Linked DNA regions of Cricetulus griseus. The main gene of each other region encodes a partner of the protein of the gene in region 7 in a complex. Links are inferred from orthologs where the notes say so. Each region holds a gene or a part of one and is shown on either strand. Other genes may lie near its edges.

The links.
Region 1: Sf3b2 (region 7) and Sf3b3 share a complex: the UniProt entries of both Homo sapiens proteins name them as parts of the SF3B subcomplex of the 17S U2 SnRNP complex. The link is inferred for Cricetulus griseus from reciprocal best matches to the Homo sapiens genes SF3B2 and SF3B3.
Region 2: Sf3b2 (region 7) and Snip1 share a complex: the UniProt entries of both Homo sapiens proteins name them as parts of the minor spliceosome. The link is inferred for Cricetulus griseus from reciprocal best matches to the Homo sapiens genes SF3B2 and SNIP1.
Region 3: Sf3b2 (region 7) and Bud13 share a complex: the UniProt entries of both Homo sapiens proteins name them as parts of the minor spliceosome. The link is inferred for Cricetulus griseus from reciprocal best matches to the Homo sapiens genes SF3B2 and BUD13.
Region 4: Sf3b2 (region 7) and Cwc27 share a complex: the UniProt entries of both Homo sapiens proteins name them as parts of the minor spliceosome. The link is inferred for Cricetulus griseus from reciprocal best matches to the Homo sapiens genes SF3B2 and CWC27.
Region 5: Sf3b2 (region 7) and Ppil2 share a complex: the UniProt entries of both Homo sapiens proteins name them as parts of the minor spliceosome. The link is inferred for Cricetulus griseus from reciprocal best matches to the Homo sapiens genes SF3B2 and PPIL2.
Region 6: Sf3b2 (region 7) and Srrm2 share a complex: the UniProt entries of both Homo sapiens proteins name them as parts of the minor spliceosome. The link is inferred for Cricetulus griseus from reciprocal best matches to the Homo sapiens genes SF3B2 and SRRM2.

The regions. Positions count from the first base shown.
Region 1 is NC_048596.1:187,226,287-187,229,786, forward strand, and holds part of Sf3b3 (splicing factor 3B subunit 3), read right to left. Parts: intron 2,560-3,500; coding exon 2,464-2,559; intron 252-2,463; coding exon 179-251; intron 1-178. UniProt on the Homo sapiens protein: Component of the 17S U2 SnRNP complex of the spliceosome, a large ribonucleoprotein complex that removes introns from transcribed pre-mRNAs.
Region 2 is NC_048595.1:27,987,065-27,991,049, forward strand, and holds the start of Snip1 (smad nuclear-interacting protein 1), read right to left. Parts: upstream 2,801-3,985; 5' UTR 2,729-2,800; coding exon 2,517-2,728; intron 1,598-2,516; coding exon 1,495-1,597; intron 1-1,494. UniProt on the Homo sapiens protein: Required for pre-mRNA splicing as component of the spliceosome. As a component of the minor spliceosome, involved in the splicing of U12-type introns in pre-mRNAs. Down-regulates NF-kappa-B signaling by competing with RELA for CREBBP/EP300 binding.
Region 3 is NC_048597.1:158,021,024-158,025,267, reverse strand, and holds the start of Bud13 (BUD13 homolog), read right to left. Parts: upstream 2,801-4,244; 5' UTR 2,686-2,800; coding exon 2,543-2,685; intron 141-2,542; coding exon 50-140; intron 1-49. UniProt on the Homo sapiens protein: Involved in pre-mRNA splicing as component of the activated spliceosome. As a component of the minor spliceosome, involved in the splicing of U12-type introns in pre-mRNAs.
Region 4 is NC_048595.1:322,922,088-322,925,450, forward strand, and holds the end of Cwc27 (spliceosome-associated protein CWC27 homolog), read right to left. Parts: intron 1,096-3,363; coding exon 933-1,095; 3' UTR 501-932; downstream 1-500. UniProt on the Homo sapiens protein: As part of the spliceosome, plays a role in pre-mRNA splicing. Probable inactive PPIase with no peptidyl-prolyl cis-trans isomerase activity. As a component of the minor spliceosome, involved in the splicing of U12-type introns in pre-mRNAs.
Region 5 is NC_048597.1:72,219,843-72,224,136, forward strand, and holds the start of Ppil2 (RING-type E3 ubiquitin-protein ligase PPIL2), read left to right. Parts: upstream 1-1,494; 5' UTR 1,495-1,580; coding exon 1,581-1,612; intron 1,613-3,274; coding exon 3,275-3,324; intron 3,325-3,972; coding exon 3,973-4,018; intron 4,019-4,294. UniProt on the Homo sapiens protein: Has a ubiquitin-protein ligase activity acting as an E3 ubiquitin protein ligase or as an ubiquitin-ubiquitin ligase promoting elongation of ubiquitin chains on substrates.
Region 6 is NC_048600.1:43,333,547-43,337,046, forward strand, and holds part of Srrm2 (serine/arginine repetitive matrix protein 2), read left to right. Parts: coding exon 1-3,500. UniProt on the Homo sapiens protein: Required for pre-mRNA splicing as component of the spliceosome. As a component of the minor spliceosome, involved in the splicing of U12-type introns in pre-mRNAs.
Region 7 is NC_048596.1:54,031,087-54,034,586, reverse strand, and holds part of Sf3b2 (splicing factor 3B subunit 2), read right to left. Parts: intron 2,559-3,500; coding exon 2,409-2,558; intron 1,676-2,408; coding exon 1,586-1,675; intron 1,477-1,585; coding exon 1,369-1,476; intron 1,113-1,368; coding exon 1,005-1,112; intron 757-1,004; coding exon 614-756; intron 528-613; coding exon 426-527; intron 1-425. UniProt on the Homo sapiens protein: Component of the 17S U2 SnRNP complex of the spliceosome, a large ribonucleoprotein complex that removes introns from transcribed pre-mRNAs.

The DNA.
Region 1 (3,500 bases), about 130 Mb from region 7:
AGAGCAGCAGTAAATGAAGGTACCCTGATCAGAAGAAGCCTCAAAAAAAGGTGTGTCTTGCCAGAAGTTTCTGGGGTACTAAATGAAGCGATACAGACATATTATGAATGCAGTTTCTAAATTTCCCATGGCAATGGTTCCCAAGACCCATCTTGACTACCAGGAAAGGGACACTTACCTTCAATGTGCCGACGCACTGTCCAGACAGCATTGGGGTTACCAGGGAGCTCAGAAACAGCCATTTCTGACACCTAAAAGGAGAGCAGGCAAGCCACAGATCCAGTGAGCATGAAACTCTACTACTTAATATTATGCTAGGTGACACTATCCCAAGGCAAAGGCCTCACCCTGTACAGTGCACTAAAAGAACTGGAACACTTAGTGAAAAAAGAATGTAAAATCCAAAGACTGACGGCACAGGCAATCCCTTGACAGCAAAAAGGCATGGAACATACAGAAGGGTACAGGTTTACAACCAAACTATATGCTTCCTTTGAATATGCCATGCCTATATCCTTAAAAAAAAAAAAAGAAAAAAAAAATCAGGCAGTGGTGGTACACACCTTTAATCCCAGAACTTGGGAGGTGGATTTGTGTGAGTTCAAGGCCAGCCTGGTCTACTGAGCAAGGTCCAGGACAGGCTCCAAAGCTACAGAGAAACTCTGTCTCAAGAACAACAACAAAAGACAAGCACCATTGGAAACAAATGAAACAACCTAAATCAGTATTTTATTGCTTTCTCTAACTTTCACAAGATAAAAATAATATCTCTTCAAAGATTATTTATTACCTTTGGAATTTTTTTGAAAAACCCATTCTAAGTTTATTAAATATTATTAAATGACTCAGAGACAGAGTGCTTCATACACTGTACTTATAGAAAGAACAAGGCACTACCCTTTTCAGTTTCCAAGAACATTAAGACATAAGAACTTCATTAGTAAAACTTATGTGTCAAGTATCCTACTCAACTAATAGAAAATTTGGTTTTTTTGGTTTTTTTCATATTAAGACTATAGTCAAAAGTAAGACAGGTATACAAGAAGGAACAAAGCAATAACTATTTTTAACTATTTCCAAAATACAACAAAAGCTCTGCTTATAAAGTTGTAAGGACAGAGGGCAAGGCACTAAAAAGCAACTCTGGAATCCTTTATCTTACACTACACTAGGAGCCAATGAGCAGTAAGTAATTGAGAACTTCAGCTCCTGGTATGCAGATTTGGACAGTGGGACTGCTCTGTCTGGGCCAGCCCTAGGTACAATGAGACCTTTTCTTTAAACACAACAAAAAGAAAGCCAGGTAGTGGCGCACACCTTTAATCCCAGTGTTCAGGAGGCAAGGCAGGTGGATTTCTGTGAGTTTGATGCCAGCCAGGTCCACAGAACAAGTTCCAGGACAGGAGGGCTACACAGAGAAACCCTGTCTCAAAACAAAACAAAAGGGGTGGTGGTGGTGGTGGGGTGTGGTGGTGGGGATAACAGGAAGAGAAGAAAAAGGAAAGTCAAGCAGGTAGGCCTACTGGTTCTAAATTTGATCAAGGCCACTCAAAACTTAGTGAAATAATGAAACTAGCCTTGAATTCAAAAATCTTTCTACTTTTGACTACTGTGGCTCAAGTTACGGACATGCACCTCCACTTTTATAGTTTTAAGGTCATATCTTAAGCTGTTTCACCCAAACAACAATGTATTAGGGCAAATGCCATCATTAAGTGAATTTTACAGAACAAAAGTTTAAAGTTGCTATTTACTAAAGCCATATTTAAAACGAAGGTCATCTTGGCAATATTTCAACAAAATTTGATGAGAAACAGACAACAGGGGAGCTGGAGAGATGGCTCATAGTTTAAGAGCATTAACTGAAGCCGGGTGTTGGTGGCACACACCTTTAATTCCAGCACTCAGGAGGCAGAGGCAGGTGGATCTCAGTGAGTTCGAGACCAGCCTGGTCTACAAGAGCTAGTTCCAGGACAGCCCCCAAAGCCACAGAGAAACCCTGCCTCCACCTGCCCCCCGCCCCAAAAAAACATTAACTGCTCTTCCAGAGGTCCTGAGTTCAATTTCCAGGACCCACATGGTGGCTCAAAATAATCTATAATGAGATCTGATGCCCTCTTCTGGCCTGCAGGCAAATGTGTAGATAGAACACTGCATACATAATAAATCTTAAAAAAGGAAAGAAAAAGGATGACAGTCATCTTAATACCTACCTTTGCCAACCACAAACTCTAACTTCAAATGGTCATGGAAAATATTATTTACTTCCGCTAAGATGTCATAGGGAATGAACTAGTAAGGGAAAAGTAATCTGAACTCCATAAACTTCAGGGACAAGAGAAAGTACATATTTGTTCATAAAAACAGTAGTTTATCTTTGACCTCCTCAAAGTTAGCCTGTACAATGTTCTGTGCAGACCTTCCTTTCACATCATAAAGAGAACCAAGAAATTCCCATCTTACCTCAAGTCCATGCCTTAAGACTCTCAGCGATGACCGGGGTCCTCTACCACAGGCGACATACAGCTGTGGAGTATCTTCATTGGCCAGATCAGCTATCTGCACAACAAGGGGAAAATGTCTATTGTACTAAGCTTTCAAATACAACTATGAAAGGACAAACTATTCTCTGGTTTAAAGTTATATAATGGCTACTGACTGGGATAAGAGAAAAGGCCCTAGTGTTCCACATTAAACAAACAACGAAACCCCACAAAACACTGTTGGGTGGCGGTGGCACACTTAATCCCAGCACTCACAAGGCCGAGGCAGGAAGAAGCCAGCAGCCTGAGCCTGGTTGACACAGTGAGTTCCAAGACAGCAAGGAATGCAGAGAAACCCTGTCATGAAAAACAAAACAAAACAAAAAAAAACGAAAACAAAACACCACCAACAACAACAACAACAAAAAAAAAAAAACAAGAAAAACCAAACACTTATGTAATTTGTTCAGAAGTCAAAAAGGAACTTTGACATTTAGTGAAATGAAGTTTTGTTATAACCTGCATCTGAAATTAGTGTTTTCTTCCACTTAAAAGAGTCAAATTACATTGATTATAACTTTGTCACTCATAAAAACAATTTTAACATAAGTTTACAGGTGTTCCAATTACCTTAAGTACTATTTCAAAAATTTATTAGACCCATTAATAGTTATATATCTACACATATGCTTTTGATATGGCTAGCCAACTCATATGTAATTGCACCAAGGACAGTCTTGAACTTCAATCTTACACAATTAGTCAGGCAGGGCAGCTTAACCCTGTACTCCCAGCACTCAGGAGGCTGAGGCAGTAGAATAGTGTGTTCACAACTAGACTTGAGCTACACAGAGTCTCAAAACAAACACCCCTCATAGACTGATAGGTTTAGGCCCTGAACTCCTTTAACTACCAGTTTTTCACAGCAGTGATTCCACAGACAAGTTGTTTGTTAAGACTACAATTCAACCTGAGGAAAACTTTAAATGATCACATTTCAATTTAATAACAAGATGG
Region 2 (3,985 bases), on a different chromosome or scaffold from region 7:
GCTCTTGGCTTTAATCCCAGCACTTGGGAGGCAGAGGCAGGTGAATCTCTTTTGAGTTCAAGGCCAGCCTGGTCTACAGAACAAGATCCAGGACAGTTAGAGCTACACAGAGAAAGCCTGTCTCAAAAAAACCAAAGAGTTCTAGGCCTGCCTATAATACCTACTAAGCAAGTTTCAAGCCAATCTGGACCTAACTGACAGGAGGTCAACTGTCTCAACTACAAAGATGTGGGATCATGCAATTTTTGTGTCCTGTCGCCGCCGCGCCTGCTGCGCTCCGCCCCCCCCGCCCCCCCCCCCCCCGTTTAGTAAGCAAGCCATCATGGTTCAGACATCTTGTAACTCATCAGAATTTTCTTCATTTTAAGGCTGAGTAATAATAATAGTCCATTTACTATAAATACATATGGAATGGTAATGGGACTAGAATTCAGGAAACAGGCTAGGCAAGCGCTCTACTTCTAAACTTTAGCCCCAGCCTTTTCGAGACAGGGTTTCTCTGTGTAGCTTTGGAGCCTGTCCTGGCACTCGCTCTAGAGACCAAGCTGGCCTCGAACTCACAGAGATCCGCCTGCCTCTGCCTCCCGAGTGCTGGGATTAAAGGCGTGCGCCACCAACGCCCGGCCTCCCTTTTTACTTTTTGAGACAGTGTCTCTCACTAAACTTATAAACCAGCCTTGAACTTGTGATCCCCCTGCCTCAGTGTAGGGATACATGTACACACCGCCACACTGGCTTGGAGCAAGACACTAGAAAATCTGGAAGATAACTCAGCACCCATGTGGTATCTGACAGCGATCCTTAACTCAAGTTCTAGGGAATCTGCTACCCTCTTCTGGGATCTGTGGGTATCAGACATATACACAGTGCACACACATACATGCAGGCAGGCAAAACACATACACATGGGGGGGGGGGAGATGCACCAAAAAAAAACTTTATTTTTAATCACACACATTCAAGACTGTTCTAACATTTACAGAGATGCAGACAAAGGAACTAGAACAGCTAAGACAATTTTGAAAATACTAAAGTAAAAGGGATTGGGGCACTCAGGTTTCAAGACTTATCACTTAGTGTGGTACTTGAGACAGCATGGGATTGGCGGAATGATAGACAAAAATAAAGATAAAGATAAAGGTGGAAAGGAACAGGGCTCTAGAGAACAGCTGGAGGCCTCCCACTGGCAGTGAGATGTCTGTATCCTGACTGTGATACTGCCCACGGTTGTGTGACAAGTTGCCATTGGGAGAAACAAGGAAAGGTACATCTCTCTGCACTATTTCTGGCAAAGAGTTATCAGAATTAAATCAATAACTTCCTCCAAATTTGAAGTTTCACATAAAACAACACAAACATATATCTAGTCTTTAGAAAAGCCCACAGCCAGGACAAGGAAAGACGGAGACACGCCGGTGCAGGCCACCTTTAGGTCCAGCAACAGCTCTGGATTTGAACGTGGGTCCTAGCAAAGGCTCCTGCCCACTCACTCACCTGCTTCACTTTGACGGTGGAGTAGTGGGGGCTCCGGCTTCTCTTAGTCCGAGGAGACTTGCTTCTTCTCCCTGAGGACTTGTTTTTCTTTTTGGCTGGGGACCTTATCAGAGCATGGTACACAGGATTTTACCTCAATGTCCCTGCCCCCAAATAAATTAGCTTCAAGTATCAGGCTACTAAACATAACACATTTGTGAAATCACTAATGGAGTCAGGTCCTCACTTCCCTAGCCACTTCTCCCAGGCTCACATACACAACTGCCTGCTCACTTAGATACCCTAATACTTGAACCCCAAAGCTCTTTTCCCAGTCTGTCATCCTACTGATTGGCATCACTATCCAGGGAGTCAATCTTGCCTGGTTTTTGGTTTTGTTTTGTTTTTTGTTTTTCCTAACACACTCCCTTCTCCAACAACCACATCCAATCCCTTGGCAAGTCCCAGGGACCCACCCTTTCCTCCACCCCACCTCATTCCTACAATGCTGCTCCTTCATCGCTCAATTCCAGACACACTGCCTGTTTTGCTTCAACTTTTAAAACAAGCCCAATTCCACTTCAGGTTCTTCGCATACATTTTTCTCTGTCCTGACCCAGCGCTAGTGCCGGGGTTAAAGGCGTGCGCCACCACGGCCCGGCCACGTTACTGTTTGACTATATCCTCAGCACTAATTGAATCTATTTGTTATTTTCCTTCTTTAGGGTTGGAGCACGCCCAATTTCGCCGGGGCCAAACCATCTCTCTTCTTCACCCTGTGGCCCAGTACCTCAATTGATCGTTAGCCCACACTGTGCACTCAGTAAATCGATGCCGTACGGGGGGCATCGGCGAATGAGTGCTGCGAAGAAGTCGCCAGGACCCAACGTGAAACAACACTTTGGCGGCAGGCAAGTGGAAAGACATTCCCACCGTCCCCCGTGGGAGGCGGGGGGAATCTCATTTCAACTCAACAGGTGCTCTACACCCCGAGTCGCTCGCACCGCCCGGGCCCCGCGCCATCCCGGCCGCGGCCCTCTCACCGGCTCACTCCCCGGGCTCGACTCCCACGGTGGCTAGCGCGGCCCGGCTCGGCGGCGGGCGGGGACGGGCTAGCGGCTGGGGCGTCGGGCCGCCGGTGCGCGATAGGTTCGGGGCTCAGACGCTCCTGCTTCACCACCACGGTCGCCAGTGCGTCGTCGGCCCGGTGTCGCCGCCGGCCGCTTCGCTCCCGCTCGCTCTTCCCGGCCTTCATCCTGCGGCCCGGCCGAGAGCCACTTGCACGGTCCGTTGAGCCACTCGAGCCGAAGGAAGTGACGGCCCGACCTTTGTACTTCCGCTTCCGGGCAGCGCGCTATCCCAGAAGCCCTCACGGCGGGGGGTCCCCTAGGTGGGCGTGGCCGCAGATGCTAAGGTTCCTACGCTGGGGACGCCCGGGCTTGTGACCCCGGGATCCCGGCTCCTGGGGAAGTGAGGCTGGAGGACTGGAAAGTCAAGGCCAGACCTCGGGAGGCGGAGGCAGAAGAATCGCTGTAAATTCGAGGCCAGCCTGGGCAATTTAGTGAGTCGGTCAGGTAGAGATTGCCTAGCCGAGCCCGAAGCCCTGGATTCCATCCGCAGCACCGCCAAATAGAAATTAAGTTAAAAGGGCGGAAAGCCTGGAGAATGTATCTTAACAGTAAAGTGAGCGTTTGCCTCGCGTGTGCAAAGGGCTGGGGGCAGTCCCTAAGACCTCACAAATCACCAAAAGAAAAAAATCCTTTTTTTTTTTTTTTTGCTTCTCGAGACAGGGTTTCTATATGTAACGTTGGCTGTCCTAGAATTTACTCTGTAGACCAGGCTGGTCTCGAACTCGAGATCCGCCTGCCTCTGCCTCCCAAGCCCTGGAATTAAAGGTGTTCGCCTGGCTCTTAAAAAAGACAAATCTTGCCAGGCGTTGGTGGCGCACTCGGGAGGCAGAGGCAGGCGGATCTCTGTGAGTTCGAGGCCAACCTGGTCTACAGAGCCAGTGCCAGGATAGGCTCCAAAGCTACACAGAGAAACCCTGTCTCGAAAAACCTAAATAAATAATAAATAAATAAATAAATAAATAAATAAATAAATAAATAATCTTGGGGTCTGGGCTGGAGAGATGGCTCTTCCTGGGGTCCTGAGTTCAATTTCCAGCAACCACATGGTGGCTCACAACCATCTGTGATGAGATCTGGTGCCCTCTTCTGGCCTGCAGGGATGCATGCAGACAGAACACTGTATACATAATAAATAAATAAATCTTTAAAATAAAAGAAAGAAAATTGGAAAGTTAATCCAAACCTGTTCGTGGCGGATTGTTGATAGTTACAAAACACAGACAAATACTCAACAATAGGAAATTCTTTTTTGTTTCTTGAGACAGTGTCTATGTAATCTTGGCTGTCCTGGAACTCACACAGATCCACCAGCCTCTGCCTTCTAAGTGCCAATCGTTGCTAAACAAACTAAGGAGTCAGGAGATGACTTGCGTTTTAAGGCT
Region 3 (4,244 bases), on a different chromosome or scaffold from region 7:
ATGCTTGGATCATTTCAAAGTCCTGACAAGACTCCAAAAGATAACATACCACAGGCAAATCTCCATCTTCTTCCTCTTCCTTTTCCGGCTTAGTGGTAGAAATAGCTGCCCAGCCCACATCATCATCAACAATCCGCATTCTAGATGAGAACAATAAAAGCCTCAAAAAAGAACTCATTCTGGGACACAGGCCTATGTACACTTACCTATTGTTTTTTGGCATTTATTTATCGTGTGTGTATGTGTGACGGGGTGTGTGTGTGTGTGTGTGTCATAGAATACATATAGAAGTCAGAGGACAACTTGCAGGAGTCAGTTGTTTCCCTCCACCATGTGGGTTCAGAGGATTGAACTCAGCCTGTCAGGCTCGTTGGCAAGCATTGGGCCATCTCACCTTTTGGCTTTTAAAGTTCAAAAGTATGGCTCAGTCTTTGTGTATATGGACTCCTACTGTCAGTTCACTCCATCACTGTCCACCTTTTTGTTTTTTGGTTTTGGTTTTTGAAGACAGGTTTTCTCTATATAACAGCCCTGGCTATCCCGGAACTTGCTCCATAGACCAGGATGGCCTTGGACTCAGAGATCCACCTGCCTCTGCCTCCCAAGTGGCTTACACTTCCACATTGCTGTTCATCAGTGAAGGAACTCAAACAGGCAGGATCCTGGAGGCAGGAGCTAATGCAGAGACCATGATGGGTGCGACTTACTGGCTTGTTCCCCATGGCTTGCTCAGCCTGCTTTTTATAGAACCAGGACCACCAGCCCAGAGATGGTACCACCCACAATGGGCTGGGCCCTCCCACATTGATCACTAAATGAGAAAATGCCTAACTGCTGGATCTCATGGAGGCATTTCCTCAGTTGAGGCTCCTTCCTCTGATGACTCTAGCTTATGTCAAGTTGACACACAAATCCAGCCAGTACACCACCTAAGTTGCAATGGGTTTTGTAAGTAGCCTAGAGACAATTTAAAGAGGATATGAATAGTTTACCCACAAATACTGTATCATTGTGTGGAGGAACTTAAGTACCTGTGGACTTGAGTAACCAGTGTACCAACTGCTGAAAGATGATGGCATCCAATGGATGTGATCTGTGCTGCAAAGAGGTATTTGAAAAACCAGGAACACATGCTACATCTTTAATCACAACAGCCATTTCAGACAAACAGCAGTGTTCAGGACCACTAGGACTCCGAGTCTCAGAGAGGTGAACTCTCTTGCCCAAGATGACCCAGGCTATAAAGTAGCACTGCTAGGATTCAGATTCCAGTTAGTGCTGTTCCAAAGCTTAAACCATGTTCCCTGAATGGCATTGCTCCTTCTTAGAACCACACTGAGCTGGGCGTTGGTGGTACACACCTTTAATCCCAGCACTCCAGAGGCAGAGGCAGGCAGATCTCTGTGAGTTCGAGGCCAGTCTGGTCTACAAGAGCTAGTTCCAGGACAGCCTCCAAAAGCCACAGAGAAACCCTGTCTCGAAAAATTAAAAAAAAAAAAAAAAAAAAAGAACCACACTGAATTTACCACATACCTTAACTGAATATAGGCTCAACTAGTAACACCACAAAGATTGATGTCATGCTGAAGTCCCAAATGAAGGTAAATTTGGGCAAAGAGGGAATTAGGGAATTAGTCTACCCACTTCAATGGGCCACAGAATTTTCTCAGTAGAAATATGAGAATAATACTGTCAGCTCACGATGGTTCCCCCATAGAGGGGTGTGAACCACACTTTATATTCTCTAAGCTGCTAAGCTCTTAGCAAGCAGCAGACCCAAGGCATGGTGTATAAGAACGGGATTAGCTTCCAGAGTTTCGACCTTGTATCCAAAATAGTACCTTCTTAGCAAGCTGCTAAACTTAGGGTCGCTGCTCTAAAGTCTATAATTTCTTTTGTCCTGTGGGCTGATGTTGGATCTCCTATCCCAACCTTTCCAGATTCCAGTGGCCAAGTCACTGCATCCGAAATCTGTCTCAGCACATCCCTCTTTCGAACCTGGAAAGTATATTATTTAAAACAATGTCTACTTCACCACAATGTCCTGAAAGTTATATGGTCAAAGTTTTTAGAAAGAGGCCAGGCACATGATAGGAACTGTACCCATATTAGTTGTTACTGTTAGTAGTAGGCAAGAATAACAGGACTTAGATCTTTGGTTCCAGATCAGTTCCTAATACTTTGAAGGCCCCAGAAACAGATTTTTGAATTCTAACATTAAAAAAAAAAAACCGCAATCACTGGGGCTTTTAATTAGTTCTACTACTCTCAGGGCACGACTTTTCAATCTGTTCGAGGGACGATACAAGGCTACAAAGGCGGGAAAACAGTAAGGAAGTTCTAAGTTCTAGCTGGCCTTAACGCATGGAAGACACTGCTCAGAGGACGAGGTCTGAGCTGCAGGCGGCGGCGAAGAGCCGGCTCGGGAGCAGCGGGGCCGGGCCTGGGTCGGCAGCGCTCGCAGCGCCGCGCGGGCGGGGAGGAGGAAGAGCTGCGGCCGAGGGCGCAAAGGGGCAGCGCGATGCCCCATCAGTCCACTCACCCCTTGCCACCGGCGCCTCCTGGCTTCGGCCGTTTTCTGCGCCGCTTCCGAACCGACTCTGGACCTCCTTCCGGGCCAGCATCTGCTCCAGACAAGTAACGCTTCAGATACTCAGCCTTGGAGAGCGGCAGAGCTGCCGCCATGGCAGCGGCGAGGGCGGGGCAACGGCTCGGCGTTGGGGACAAAAATTCTTCTACGGGAAACGGATGGGGGTGGAGCCAGAAACGGAAGCCCTAGGAGTGGCCCTTATGGAGCTACTGGGGCTGATAGGTGTCATGACTCTTAAAAAATGTCTTTACAGGCTCGGTGTGGGGAAGGGGAGGTGCATGAATGCATCGTAGGGCCGTTCTGCTTTCCTGTGACGACACATCCGTGCAACGCTCTCAGCCGGGACTGTTCCAGCAAAGAGGTCACAGGCCGACTTAACTAGTCCTGCCCTGACGACTGCACCGGAGTAGGGAAGAACCGAAACTCAGGAGATCAGAGCACCTATTTGAATACGAGACCGATCGTAACTGTGCCACTGGGGGCAAGTTATTGAATAGCATTTTAATAACGGATGTTGTGCCAAATGCCTAGCACAATTAGTTTATTTCAGTTATTATTATCATTATTGAAGAAGAAGAAGAAGAAGAAGAAGAAGAAGAAGAAGAAGAAGAAGAAGAAGAAGAAGAAGAAGAAGAAGAAGAAGAAGAAGAAGAAAGAAGAAAGAATTTACAAAAGCAGGGACTTGGTGAAGCTGCCTGGTGGATACCCTTGAGGACTCATAGGTAGATGCCAACCCAGAGCAGGAGGAAGAGGACTCCCAAGCCCATTAAGAGTTAGGGCACCAAGGAGATGAGGAGCTCTTTATAAATAATTGTATGTACTTGGTGGAGGTGACCTTATAAACGAAGAACCAGGAAGTACCACGATCAGGTGTGGGAAGACAGCTGGATTGACCCAGCTGGTGTACCTACTGATGACCCCCAGCTCTTTTGCCCACAATAAACCACCAGTAGAACTATTTCGGTTATTTTTATTGGTATAAATACCTTTTGGTAGACAGTATACTGGAACAGTGCCATTTAGGGGAAGTCAAACAAATCCCACCCCCAATATTGTGACTGAAAAGTGGATTGGTCTCATCAAACCTGTATTGACCTTTCCACGTTTGGTATTATCTCTCAAGAAAATGGTATACAATCTTCCCAATAAAAATGACAAGGAATTGTTGTCAATGTGGCAAAGAAAAGAAAGCCAGGAAGATTCTATTTCTTATAGGGGGTTAAGTGTTTGGTGAATCTTCACTTGACCCCCACAATTCTGTTTCTTCTTCCATCAAGCACTGGGGATTGAACCCAGGGCCTTGCACATGATAAGGAAGAGTTCTGTAGCAGAACTACTTCCCCCACCCCTTTCTGAATTTTGGAGACATGACCTTGCTAAGTTGCCCAGGATGATCTTGAGTTTGTTATCCTTCTGCCTCAGCATCCCAAGTAGCTGGACTATATACCAACACGGCCAAGCCTTCAGTTTTATTAGCCTCTTTATAGGTGATAAGTTTAGAGGAATATAGGAGCAAACTCATTCTCATACTCCCGAATTCTGACTTTTCTAGAAGAGGCCAGCCAAATACAGTGCACGAGGTTATCCAGATTGGGTTTGTTTTGTGACAGGGGTTCTCTGTATAGCCCTGGCTGGCCTGAAACTCTGCCTGCCT
Region 4 (3,363 bases), on a different chromosome or scaffold from region 7:
GACTAGGATTTCTCTGTCCTCTTGTCTACTGCCAGTGCTGCACCTGGGATCACAGATGAAGAAGCAGTGCTTGAGGAAGAGGAAACCGACTTCATTACTTCTTCTGAGAAGATGTGGCTGTGAAGTTTTATTAGGTGACTGAAGTTAGCCTGCTGTACAATTTTAGCAAGCAGATTTTAGAACTAAAAATAGGGAACAGAATCACCCAATGTGAATGACTGCATCAAGAGCTAAATTCCCGATGTGTTCTATTGGCGGGAGCTACGGGTCCCGTGCACCCCACCTGCTCCTGGGGCTGCGCTGCTGGTGGGGGCAGAGGGTGGCAGGTGGCCAAGCACCAGGATGTGGTATTTGGTGAGCATGGCAGCAGAGTGCTACTGTCCTGAATGCATTCAATAGCCTGAACAGAGACAATATTAATTTGCCTGTGGGTTCCTTAGGAATTAAAGCAAGAGTCCTATTGGTCTGGCTATTTTTATGTTTATATACAAAAAGAGTCATCAATGTTAATGTTTTTTATTTTATAATTTTGATTCTATATCAAAGTGTCGAGGAAGTTCCCCTTATTCTTTCTGTGAGCACTTATAAAACATCTAGACAAGATAACCTCACACATTTCAGGGTAAAGGGGCATAAACAGGCATATATAACCTGTAAGTGGTTAACATTTAAACTGGAAAGAAACTGATTTTATTTCTGATTTAGCAATAGAAAAGGTCAATTAAGGAAAAGAAAATCTGTCAGTAACCAAAAGCATTTGCTTACATCATTCCAAATTTAAAAAACAAAATATGGTTTCTGAACCAGAGAACAGGTTCAGATGTACTTTTCACAGCCCTCCATGCTGCCCTGCTGATGTGAACAATGGCTGGCCATCACGAAGACATTCATGGCAGGCAGGCTTCCAGCAGTTCTGCATCACCACTCTCCTCTCACCTTCTTTCTTTCTTCTCTCTCAACAGCTTCTTGCTCTCTTCCCTTCTTCTTTTGTTCACCGGATTCCGAGGATCGTAGATCTCAAATGTGTCTGAGTCCTGCATGCTTGCATCTTTCACTTTCCTGGTTTTGTCTTCAAACTGGAGCACATGTGACATCCTGAAGGAGAACAGAGGCCCAGTGAGCGCAGGCTGAGAACCCAATGGAGAGCCCCCCCCCCCCCCCCCAGTTTCTCTGTGTAGCTTTGGAGCCTGTCGTGGAACTCCCTCTGCAGACCAGGCTGGCCTTGAAGTCACAGGGATCCACCTGCCTCTGCCTCCGCAAGACTGTTGCCACTACCGCCTGGCCCAATGGAGAGATTTTTTTCCCCACTCTCACACAGGGAAGTAGGCAGCCTGGAGCACCAGGAGATGTTGCTGTTTACACTATCCATCCCACCTGGAAAGCAGTTCTACAGAAAACAAGGCTGTGTGAGGAATTCCACTGGTGGCAGAGTTCCCAGCATGCGTCCCCAGAACTGCACAACAGAAACAAAGCAAAACTTTGGAGAACATGCCTGTCTCTCATGCTCACTGCAGATTCCTCCCTGGTGAGAGGCTATGCTTACTACCTGGGGCGGGGTGGGGGGGTCTCCTAAAACTGTATTTGGAACTCTATCCTCTTTCTTTGAAGAGTGTACTCAAATACACGGAGCCAGCTGTGGAGCCAGATGCCAGCCAATGACTAAACCTGTCTGATGTTTGGGTCAAAGGCAAGGGTTACACCAGAAACACAACAAAAACCAAGCCAAAAAAAAAAAAAAAAAAAAAAATCCCCATCTTTAAGGGATGTGTTAGGGCTGGTGTGTAGTGGTAGAGCATTTTTGCCTTGCATACATCCTAGGTTCAATCCCCAGCACTACTAGCAAATTAACAAAAACCAAATAAGCAGGGACAAACAGAACAAAAAGTATGCATCTATGAGATAAATGCTTAAAAACAACCAAAAGTGATGTTCAAATGGTGCTGTGGCTGTCTTTTCTGGGAGTGGCTGAATTTTTCTATGCAAAAGGGGCTGGAACTTCTGGCGTAACTCTATGAACTAATTTTCTCCTCTTACTGTTGATTACAGCAAGTTTCACTATCCTGCCTTCCTACTTTAGCAAATGCTTACTGGTCTTAAGGTATCAGCATGTGCTTGATTCCTAAGTGGTCATAAGCTAGCTACCCTCAGCAGCAGGGAACTACGCCAGGATTAGCTGTATCCCCATTGCAAGGTATCAGCAACACACAGGGAATCAAAAGACTTCAGGGCAATTGAATGAATTAGGAAAGGAAAAAATTCAGTTTTTATATGAATAAACAAAAGTGTTAAGAATTTTCTACTCATTATGTAATTAAAAAAATCCAGTTTGTATCAGTGCATCTTAAATACGTATTTTCTTCATCATAGTAGACAGGAATAAAACTCTGCCTACACCCCTTGCAACTTTCAGACAAGCCCACATGCGACATTGATTTCTTTAGATCTGTATAAGTAAAGATTTGGGCAGTTGGTACTGTCAGGAACCTCCAGTCTTTTCCCTGCAGCAGCATAGACGGTGAGTGACATTTATTTGTATGGAAAACTCCTATGAGTATGTTCAGATTTTGAAGATTCTTAAAGAGATTTGGTAGGAAAGGAAAATATTACAGATACTGTCATTTTGGGGACTCAGTAGCAAATGGATCATTACCACTTCCTTCTATTCTACTTTAGAAGGCCATGGTGATGCAGTGAGTATCAGGGACATACAGATGACCTACAGTGCATTTTCACCAGGCACAATCCCTTTAAATTACTATGTCTTATCATTAATAATGCAGTTTGTTCTGACTTTAATAACCTATCTCAACACAGGAATGAGCCATGTCACATGTGAGAAATGCTGACTTCTAACAGGTCCAGTGCTTAATTAAACACTACCAATTAGAAAGGGCATTCTACAACCATTGCATACATATATGGATTCCCTATAAAGTCTGATTTTCTTGTGTTGTAAATTTCCTATGGTGTTTATTTGGGTGTTAGCTTCTGAGAATGCCCAATTCCTTGAAAAAGATCAATTTTTTTTTTCAGTAATCATGGAAACAAGGAACCAGTTGATCAAGTTGGAAACACAACTGGATTTAACCAATTAATTCTGACTTACCAAGGTCTAAATAAGCAGGGACAGCTCATGTCACCAGCTACAACTTCCTACTTGTGAGAACTGGCCAATCAGTGGCAGACTCACCCAGTAAAGTGTTTCTCGCCGGCGTTGGTGGTGAACACTTTTAATCCCAGCACTTGGGAGGCAGAGGCAGGCAGATCTCCGTGAGTTCGAGGCCAGCCTGGTCTACACAGTGAATGCCAGGATAGGCTCCAAAGCTAAACAGAGAAACCCTGTCTCGAAAAACAAAACAAAAC
Region 5 (4,294 bases), on a different chromosome or scaffold from region 7:
GAATAGCCCCCAAACACAGGAAAATGGTTTATTTATAGACTCCAACACTGCAAGGCTAGGGTGTTTCCAATGGTTTTTTGGTTACATAGGAATTTGGCTGGCTGAACATCTTATCAGGGTGGTGAAAACAAACAAACAAAAAAAGGAAAGGAACATAACTGCTCCTAGGTATGGTGGCGGTGAAGGTTTATTATAGATAAAAGGAAGAGTATAGCCAGAGGCAGGGACATCTGGAAGAGTCCAGAGTGGACATGACCCTGAACTATACAAGAAGAAGGGGCAAGGGGAGAGGGGAACCAGGTGTGGCAGCCAAGAGACTCAGAGAGAGCCGATGAAAAGGCCAGGTAACCAAAATGTTTGGATTATATAGGGAAGGGCAGCTGGGGGAAGGGCAGCCCAGCCTTTGGGCTGGAGAAGTTTAGGATAGGGGGCAGGCATGCTAGCTGGGGGGCCCCTATAGCAGGCCGGGACTGAGGAATGCAGGGAGAACCTGGTGGCCAGCATTCACTCTGATACATTAAATAGGCACCTCAGCAGTGTGTCCCGAGTTTGAGACCTAACAGTTGGAGGTCAGGCTAACAGGGTGTGGAGCATTAGCATCAAAGTGGAGATTTGCAACAGAGGACAGGGAGACTGAGAATTCTTTGATCAGACATGTAGACAAGAACTTGACATGTAGTTGTCTTTGGAGTCACGATATAAGTGGTGTTTAAAACCACAAGCTTAGGGGGCTGGAGAGATGCTTCAGCAGTTAAAAGCACTTGCTGCTCTCCCAAAGGGCCCAGGTTCAATCCCCATCACCCATAGGGGATCTGACACCCTTACACAAAGCACCATTGCACATAAAAAAATAAAGCCACAAGCTTAGGCTTGCGGCACAAGCCTGGCAAGGAGAACCAACTCCTGCATTTTGTCCTATGAATTCCACACATGTGCCATGGCACATAGTTGACCACACACATACTATAAAAGGAAACTCAGGTGTTTGTACTTAGCATGCACTTAAGGGTTAATCTCTAGTCCTCTGCATCCTCAGGCAAAAAACAAGCCAGACCAAGGACCTGGCTCCAAGGAACGATCTAGCAGAGTAGATATATGGAACCGGGGAGGGCACTGCACCTGAGGGCTTCATCACCTGCCACCTGATGGGCCTGGAGGACGTGGGGGCTGGAGAGCAAAGAAAAGGAGGTGAGTAGGCAGTGGGATGGCCATGCCTTTGCAGGCACTGGTCCAGGAGCTAGGGCAAGAGGCTTTAGATACAAGGGAGGGCAGGTCTGAGCGGATCTGGCTGGTACAGCTTGGGCTGGGCAAGTAACCAGGTAGTGTACAGAGAAGTCTTTGAGAATTCGCAACGCAGTTTGCCTGGAGACAAGAAAAGTGGATTCTACTCAGAGCCAGCAAGCTTCTGCTTCTTACGGTGGCCGCGCCCAGCGTTCACTATGGGCACCTGGAAACCACAATTCCCAGAATGCCTCTTTCCAACTTCCGGGACCGGGTGAGCCGAACTCCGGAAGTAGCTGAGAAAGCGGAGGCGCCAGAGTCTGATCGTCTGCTGGGGCCGACTTGGGTTCGTCGCAGCCATGGGGAAGCGACAACACCAGAAGGACAAGATGTAAGTTGGGTAGCACCTCTCTTCTCACCTCATCACCACCCTGCAGGTCATCTCTTCCCGAAAGCCTCAGTTCTTGCAGCCCAATATCGTCTTAGCGCGGCCTCCGCGGCTAGGGCGTTTTGCTGGCCGGACTGATTCACTCCCGGGACTTACCCCTACCGCCCCTCTTTCTGCCCCTGCGTTGGTTGTCTGCCCTTTGGTCCTGGCTGTCACTTGCCAGCCTACTTGCAGGCGACAGTTTAAGACTAGCGGACTGTGTTCCGTGTTCCTCTCATTTGCCACTGTCTGTCAGGATGCTGTTTTCTGTTGTTTCTTGAAACAAGTGTAATCAGATGCTTTACCCCCAAACTGCTGGCAAGGATGCCTTTGACTTCTGTATTGCCAAATCTAGTGCGCAGCTCTCAGTCTTTGGGCTTCTTCCCTTTCCGAAGCCGACCCTTAGTGGGATCCTACAAGCGGCTTTGCTTTTTATCTGTCGCAATGACCTCTCTTTTATCATTCCTCCTTGCTGGGCTTCCTTCCCCTGTCCCAGACTTCGTGGGTGTCCCTTCATTTCTGTTCTCTGTGGGTGATCTGTTCTAGTAGTCTAATCTCGCCTGCACTAAGTCAGCTGTTTACTCAGTAGCTTTCTCAGAATTAGAATGCCTGAAAGGGAACTCTTTCTTGATAATTTTCACACCTTAAGCCTGCTCTATTTCCATCTTATTCCAGTGGTTACATAGTAAATCCCTGATTTGCTAGACATAGACTGAAGACAGTTTTCAGCCTTAAACACTGGCACACAGCAACCAGAGCTATGTTAGGTCATGTCTGGGTACTGCTCAAAACCATTCAACGGCTTCCCATCACACCTAAGGCAATGGAGAGTACTTTCTGGATCTTTAAGACTCCTTTATGGTCTGGCGTCTTTAATCCCAGTAGGGATTAGAGACAGAGAGGCAGAGACAGGCGGGTCTCTGTGAGTTCAAGACCAGCCTGGTCTACAGATCGAGTTCCAGGCCAGGCTCCAAAGCAGTACAGAGAAACCCTGTCTCGAAAAACAAAAAAAAAAAAAAAAGAAAAGAAGAAGAAGACGAAGAAGAAAAAAGAAAGGTTTTGGCTGGAGAGATGGCTCAGCAGTTAAGAGCAGTGACTGTTCTTCCAGAGGTCCCAGAGTTCAATTAATTCCCAGTAACCACATGGTGGCTCACAAACATCTGTAATGAGATCTGGTGCCCTCTTCTGGCCTGTAGGCACACATGCAGACAGAACACTGTATACATAATAAATAATTTTTTTTTAAAGACTCCTTTATGATCAGCTACTGTCCTTGCTTCTGTCTCCATCTGCTGCCCCATACCTCCCCAGATGTTCTTCTAGTGTCTCCCTTCCAGAACACATTCAGCTTTCCCTGCTCCAACCTCAGTAAGTACTGCCCTGTAAAGGGCTTCCCCAGATCTTTGTAAGCCTAGCTCTTTCTCATTGCCAGGTCATCCAGTTCATCTCCTTCAGGGCAAGGTCGCTGATGTTTGCATATATTTCTGTCTGTTGTGCTTATCATTATGTCTAATGCTGCAGCTGTTTGATGTGCACTTGTCAAGTGAGTGGCAGTTCTGTCATATTACATCTACAGCTTCTGTCCCTTCTGTGAGGGCAACTAGTAATATCCTCTGTCTTCCTTAGGTACATCACCTGCGCGGAGTACACTCACTTCTATGGTGGCAGGAAGCCAGGTAAGGGGTGTTGGTGGTACTGAGGAATGTATATAGTGGTCCAGAACACTGATATTACAGTGTATATTAGTGGGCTGAGTACAGAGTCCACAAAAGAGGATGCGTACTCAACATAGTAGAGTATAGTAGTGGAGAGATTTTAAAAGTATTTTTATGTAAAACGGCTTTTTCTTCATAGGAGGAAAACATGAATGGTAATACCCAAGTTTTCCAAGGCTGTAGAAAAAAGGATGTAGTTTTTTTTTTTCATTTATTTATTTTATTTGCATTGATGTTTTGTCTGCATGTATGCTTCTGTGAGGGTGCCAGATCCCCTGGGACTGGAGTTAGCTGTGAGCTGCTCTTGTAGACCAGGCTGGTCTCGAACTCAAAGAGATCCGCCTGCCTCTGCCTCCCGAGTGCTGGGACTAAAGGTGTGCCACCATTGCCCGGCTACTCTTAATCTGGGGCCTGGAGGTGTAGCTCGGTGATACAACTAGCACATAGCATATATAAGGTCTTGGGCTTCATCTCCAGCAATACATAATACAACTCTTCTCTTTTGGAACAACAGCAACAAAAAATTTAATCTGTGGTAATGTAGTTTTTGTGGTAGATACAGTAGATGAAATGCTTTCTAAATAAGTTTTCTGGTTTTTATTTAAACAGATATCACACAGACAAGTTTTCGCCGCTTACCTTTTGACCACTGTAGGTAAGATCTTTAAAAGGGTTCTGTTTTCTTTTTCTTAATTTAAATCAGAAACAATCTTATTTTATATATCAATCCCAGTTCTCTCTCCCTCCCATTCTCCCATGCCCCCCCAACCGACCCCCATCCCATCCCTCTTCTGCTCCATAGAAAGGGTGAGGCCTTCTATGGGGGAATCACCAAAATCTGTCACATCATTTGGGGCAGGGCCCAGGCCCTCCCCAGGTTCTATTTTCTTTTGATTATCATTCTCCAAGTGTGTGTATGTTTTAAGATAGG
Region 6 (3,500 bases), on a different chromosome or scaffold from region 7:
ACAGTACTGAAAGACACACCTAGAGTACTATTAAAGGAAAGAATTGGAGCTGGGTCACCTCCAGGCACAAGAGACCAAAATAGTTCATTACCTATTTCAAGCCAAGATGAATTAATGGAAGCAGAAAAATCTGAGCAACCTTTAAGCCAAGTTATACAGAGTTTATCTCCAGAACATAAAGAAATGCCTGGAAGTAACATTGAATCATCTCCTGAAATAGAAAGGCCTGCTGTATTGTCTGCTCTTGACCAAAGCCAGGCACAGCCCTCTTCTAAACCAGCAGAAATCCCTGCAGTGGCTTCATGTTGGAGTGGGCTGCAAATGTCTCCAGAACATAAAGAACTATCTCATTCTTCCCCTGGGGAGAATAGCTTTGAGTCATCTTTAGAGCTTAGAAACTCGGGCCCTATTTCAGAAGTAAATGCTGGATTTTCTCCTGAAGTTAAAGAAGAATTGAATGGGCCATTTCTTAATCAAACAGAGACAGATCCCTCTTTGGACATGAAAGAACAATCAGCAAGATCCTCCAGGCGCAGCAGTTCTGAGTTATCCCCAGAAGTAGTAGAAAAGGTAGGAATATTTTCAAATCAGAGTGTGTCTTCTCCTACACTTGAGACTGTACACAGAACACCTTCAAGAGAAAGAAGTAGTTCTGCATCTTCTCCTGAACTGAAAGATGGTTTGCCCAGAACTCCGTCTAGGAGAAGCCGATCTGGGTCTTCTCCAGGACTTAGAGATGGGTCTGGGAGTCCTTCTAGGCATAGCCTGTCTGGGTCATCTCCTGGGATCAAAGATGCACCTCATACCCCATCCAGGGGACGAAGTGAATGTGACTCTTCCCCAGAACCAAAAGCATTGCCTCAGACTCCAAGAGCACGAAGCCCTCCATCATCCCCAGAGCACAACAACAAAAGTGTCACCCCTCAAAGAGAAAGAAGCGGGTCAGAATCATCAGTAGAACAGAAAACTGTGGCTAGAACCTCTCCTGGGCAAAGAAGTCGATCTGGGTCTTCCCAAGAGCTTGATGGAAAACCCAGTGCATCCCCTCAAGAAAGAAGTGAATCAGACTCCTCTCCAGATTCTAAACCCAAGACTCGAACCCCTCTTAGACAGAGGAGTCACTCTGGTTCATCCCCAGAGGTTGAGAGCAAATCTCGACCCTCTCCCCGGCTCAGTAGGTCTGGTTCATCCCCTGAAATGAAAGATAAGCCAAGAGGGCTGCAAAGGGCTCAGAGTGGTACTGACTCTTCTCCTGAACACAAAATACCTGCCCCTCGGGCCCTGCCCAGACGAAGTAGGTCAGGTTCATCAAGCAAAGACAGAGGCCCTTCACCTGAAGGAAGTAGTAGTTCTGAGTCTTCTCCAGAACACCCACCCAAATCCAGAACTGCTCGAAGAGGCTCCAGGTCCTCAATGGAGCCAAAGACAAAGTCTCGCACACCACCTAGACGTCGGAGTTCTCGATCATCTCCCGAGCTAACCAGGAAGGCTAGAGTCTCTCGAAGAAGCCGCTCTGCATCCTCATCACCAGAAACCCGCTCCAGAACTCCACCAAGACGTCGAAGAAGTCCTTCAGTGTCTTCACCAGAGCCAACTGAAAAGTCAAGGTCTTCACGGAGGCGGCGCTCAGCTTCATCACCCCGAACCAAGACTACTTCAAGGAGAGGCCGATCTCCTTCACCAAAACCTCGTGGACTCCAAAGGTCCCGATCCCGCTCACGTAGAGACAAAACCAGAACAACCAGACGCCGAGATAGGTCTGGATCATCTCAGTCAACATCAAGAAGACGACAGAGGAGCCGGTCTAGGTCTCGTGTCACTCGTAGGCGGAGGGGTGGCTCTGGTTACCATTCAAGATCACCTACAAGACAGGAGAGTTCCCGAACTTCATCTCGACGCAGAAGAGGCCGATCTCGGACACCTTTGACCAGTCGGAAGCGATCTCGATCACGAACATCACCAGCCCCATGGAAGCGCTCTAGATCTCGAGCCTCACCAGCTACTCATCGGCGATCCAGGTCCAGAACACCACTGATCAGCCGGCGCAGGTCCAGATCTCGGACCTCACCCGTGAGTAGGAGACGGTCAAGGTCAGTGAATAGGCGTAGATCTAGATCAAGAGCATCCCCAGTGAGTCGTAGGAGATCTAGGTCAAGAACACCACCAGTAACTCGTCGTCGATCAAGATCCAGAACACCAACAACGCGCCGTCGCTCTCGTTCTAGGACTCCTCCAGTGACTCGAAGAAGGTCCAGATCTAGGACTCCACCAGTAACCAGGAGGCGATCTCGAAGCAGAACTTCACCAATTACTCGAAGAAGATCCAGATCCAGGACATCCCCAGTCACACGTAGAAGATCTCGATCTCGCACATCTCCAGTCACTCGAAGGCGCTCTCGTTCTCGAACCTCTCCAGTGACACGTCGCCGCTCCAGGTCCAGAACTCCTCCAGCTATTCGTAGACGCTCTAGGTCTCGGACACCACTGTTGCCACGCAAGCGCTCTCGAAGTCGCTCACCACTTGCTATCCGTCGCCGCTCTAGGTCTCGTACTCCTAGAGCAACTCGAGGCAAGCGGTCCCTAACAAGATCCCCTCCAGCCATCCGTAGGCGGTCTGCATCTGGAAGTAGTTCTGATCGGTCACGTTCTGCCACTCCTCCAGCAACAAGGAATCATTCTGGATCTCGTACACCTCCTGTAGCACTCAGTAGCTCTAGAATGAGCTGCTTCAGTCGTCCTAGCATGTCACCAACGCCTCTTGATCGATGTAGATCACCTGGAATGCTTGAACCCCTTGGAAGTGCTAGAACACCCATGTCTGTGCTACAGCAAAGTGGTGGCTCCATGATGGATGGTCCAGGTCCCCGGATTCCTGATCATCCAAGAGCATCTGTTCCAGAAAACCATGCTCAGTCTAGAATTGCACTTGCTCTCACAGCTATCAGTCTTGGCACTGCCCGGCCACCTCCATCTATGTCTGCTGCTGGCCTTGCTGCAAGAATGTCCCAGGTTCCAGCTCCTGTACCTCTCATGAGCCTCAGAACAGCCCCAGCTGCAAACCTTGCCAGCAGGATTCCAGCAGCATCTGCAGCAGCCATGAACCTTGCTAGTGCCAGAACATCTGCTATTCCAGCATCAGTGAACCTTGCTGACTCGAGAACACCAGCTGCAGCAGCAGCCATGAACTTAGCCAGCCCTAGAACAGCAGTAGCTCCTTCAGCTGTGAACCTTGCTGATCCTCGAGCCCCTGCAGCCACAGCTGTGAACCTAGCAGGAGCTAGAACACCAGCTGCACTGGCAGCTTTGAGTCTCACAGGCTCTGGGACACCCCCGGCTGCTGCAAATTATCCCTCCAGTTCCAGAACACCCCAGGCTCCTACTCCTGCAAACCTGGTGGGTCCTCGATCTGCACATGGCACAGCTCCTGTGAATATTGCTGGCTCTAGAACCCCTGCAGCCTTGGCTCCCTCAAATCTCTCCAGTGCCAGGATGGCTCCAGC
Region 7 (3,500 bases):
GTTGTATACATAATAAATAAATAAAAATCTTTAAAAGAAAGAAAGAAAGAAAGGGAAGAAAAGAAAGAAAGAAAGAAAGAAAGAAAGAAAGAAAGAAAGAAAGAAAAGGAATAAAGAAGCGGGCAGTGGTAGCACATGCCTTTAGTTCCAGCACTGGGGAGGTAGAGGCAGGCAGATCTCTGTGAGTTCGAGGCCAGCCTGGTCTATAAAAGCTAGTTCCAGGACAGCCTCCAAAGCTACAGAGAAACCCTGTCTCTGAAAACGAACGAAAGAAAGGAAGGAAGGAAGGAAGGAAGGAAGGAAGGAAGGAAGGAAGGAAGGAAGGAAGGAAGGAAAATGGAATTAAAAAGTCAGTCAACCAACCTAGAAGACCAACTAAAGTGAAAGTCCTCCCCCCAAAACTACTGCCCGATTACTTCTCTTACCCATCCATCGCCTCCTCTATCTTCTTCTTCCTCAGCTCAATGAGTTCAGGGGTCTCCATTCCAGCTGGCACTGATGAGAACCCTCCAGGAGTGATGAGGCCACTATGAGGAGAGAAACAAAATCTCCACTGTAAAAAAGCAGCCCCCAAAGACAGACTGCTTTGGAGGAGCTAGGTTCTATTTCCTACCTGTCTGCAGGTGTGATAAAGCCAGTTTCATCTGGCTTGTCTTCATCACTTTCTTCCTCTTCCTCTTCTTCTGAGGACTCTTCATCAGATGGTTCTAATTCTCCCCAAGGGGTCCGATCAATCTCTTCTTCTTCAGTTTTGGTCTAAAAGAGATTCCTCATTCATTCAATAAGTACTCACTTCGTGCCTATTGCCCCACTCTGCTGTTCACTAAAAGAAGGAAAAATAAACACACAAATCCTTTAAAGGAAAGCTGTGCTACACCCCAAGAAAATACATGCCCCTTTTCAGACTGAACACCAAGCCCAGCTCCCTGATAATGAAGTTACAGATCTACTATTCCTAACCCTTTTAGCATTAAGTAAAATCAAACTCAGCAGCCTCCCCATACCTGAAACTCAGCAGCATTGGTTCCAAACACGTCCCCATAAAGTGGCTTCCCAGTCTCATCTACTGGGGGTTTGCCCCACCCACCAGCATGGTATCCAAAGGAACAGCTCTGCAGAAGAGGGAACATGAGTAAGTTCTCCAAAACTCTAGAAAAGACTGAGGCCCTAGAAAAAAGTTAGCACTCCAAGATCGGGAGGGACTCACTCAAAAAACAAACAAGCAAGCAAACAAAAAGCCATCTGTCACTCTATATTCTGCTCTGGCCACCATAGGAACGTATGCCCACACATTCCTGTGTAACACACACACTCCTGTGTAACACATAGCCCAAGGCAGCCAAGAGGGAAAACAAGCTCACTGTTTACCTCAGGAATAGGAGAATTCAGCCCAGGGATTTTCAGATTTGGGTAGGATGGGGGTGGCCCATATCGCTGCATGGCAATCAGCCATGGGGGAGGGACTTTGTGGGCATTCTGTAAGAAAAACAGAACAGGCTATGACCTACCTTCCCCTACCCTATCTTTCCCTTCTGCTCCTATTCTCACCCTCTCTCCAGCTTCCCAGCCTCTTAGCCAAACTTACGGGTCCTACTGGCATCCCTAAGGAAATCCTTAGTTCATCAGATAGATCTCCAGGCTTCTTCTCCTTCAGCCTTGTCTCGAACTCCTTGCCCTGGGGAAAAAGCACAGCCTGCTCTGTTGAGGACTCCAGACACATACTAAGATCTCAGTGGCATAAGGACATAAGAACAGACAAGAAGCCCTAACTCCATCAGATACAAAGTCCCATCAGGGCTGCTGGGCTCCACTTGGGTAGAATAGAAAAAGGAAGAAGACCAGACTCCCTACTGCTACTGTGAGAATAAGGCCAAATACAGCACCTGCTTTCTCACTTGTGAAACGAGCCCACTGGACAAGATGACTGTCAGCATCCTTCTATCTGATCTTCTTTTGATGGTATGGTGATTAACATTTCAAAGATCAGGGGGAAAAATAAAACTTTTTCTCCCACTTAAAACACAAAATGTGCTGGGCAGTGGTTGTGCATGCCTTTGATCCCAGCCTGGTCTACAGAGTGAGTTCCAGGGCAGCCTCCAAAGACAGAGAAACCCTGTCTCGAAAAACCAAACACACACACACACACACACACACACACACAAAATGTTTCTGCACAACACATGCCATTGTCCCTAAACCACCCATCAAACATCACTTCAAATACATATAACTTTCTTCTGGAAAAAAGGACTTGTTTGAGGAAGAAGAAAAAAATCCACATACTATGTTACTCGGTGGCAGGAATGGGACATTTTAAGACTAGGGACCACTGTACCAGCTTTAAAATGGACTCTAACCGAAGTTAACATCAAGGCTCAACCCTGTACCTCCCAGTCCCCTTCCCGAACCTCATAATATAGGTCTCCATGGATGGTCAGCTTTGGTTTGGTCTGCCACTTGAAAAAGGCATCATGTAGTTTCTGGTAATCAATATCAATCTTCCCCATCTTGGGCCGAACCTTCTCTCTCATTTTTGACTTCATGGTCTTTTGTTCTTCCTGTAAAAATTGTCAGGAGAGGAGTTACTGAGTATCAGTCAGTTCTTTATTAGACACTCTTGTGGTGATACATTGTTTATGATCTAATAAAGCTTTCTTGAAGATCAGGATGCAAAGCCAGCCATACTAGCTAGCTAGAGAAGCTGGGCAATGGTGGCCACACCTTTAATTCAGGACTCAGGAGACAAGAGGCAGATGGATCTCTGTGAATTCAAGGCCACCCAGGGCTACGTGAGTGAATCAGTCTAAAAGAGAAACAGAGCTCACACCTTTGATACCAGAGAATATCAAAAGAGAATACAAAGAGCTCAGGGCAGTCTCAGGCCGGAGCAGTCTGAGATTTGGTGAGGAGCAGTGCAGTTTGGAGATGCAATCTGAGGTTCAGTGGATTGCCCCTTTGGTCTGAGCATTGAAGTAAGAACTCTTAAAACGGCTGGCCACTTTGCTTCTCTGATCTTCCAGCTTGAACTCCAGTTATCTGTCTCTGGGTTTTTATTTATGTATTTATGCTTTACACTCTTGACTCCAATTCAATGGAACCTCATTTATCTAAAACATCAGCTAAGTTTCAAAAAGCTCCTGAACTTGACGGTAATACCCAAAATTCAAATGACACAATCTGTGCTGAACACAATAGACTTGCTACATGAAAGCAGCCTCAGCTTTCTGTCAGAACCTACTGTTCCACTGTGTCATCAAGAAAGGACTGGGTCAGGGTTGGAGAGCTGGCTCACTTGTCGCTTTTGTAGACATAATTTCAGTTCCCAGCTCCCACATGGTGGCTTACAGCAATAATTCCTAACTCCAGTTCCAAAGATATCTAACACCCTCCTCTGACCTCCACAGGCACCAGGTATACACACAGTACACATATATACATGCAAGCGAAATACTATAAAAAGTTAATAAATCTAGGCCGGGCGTTGGTGGCACACACCTTTA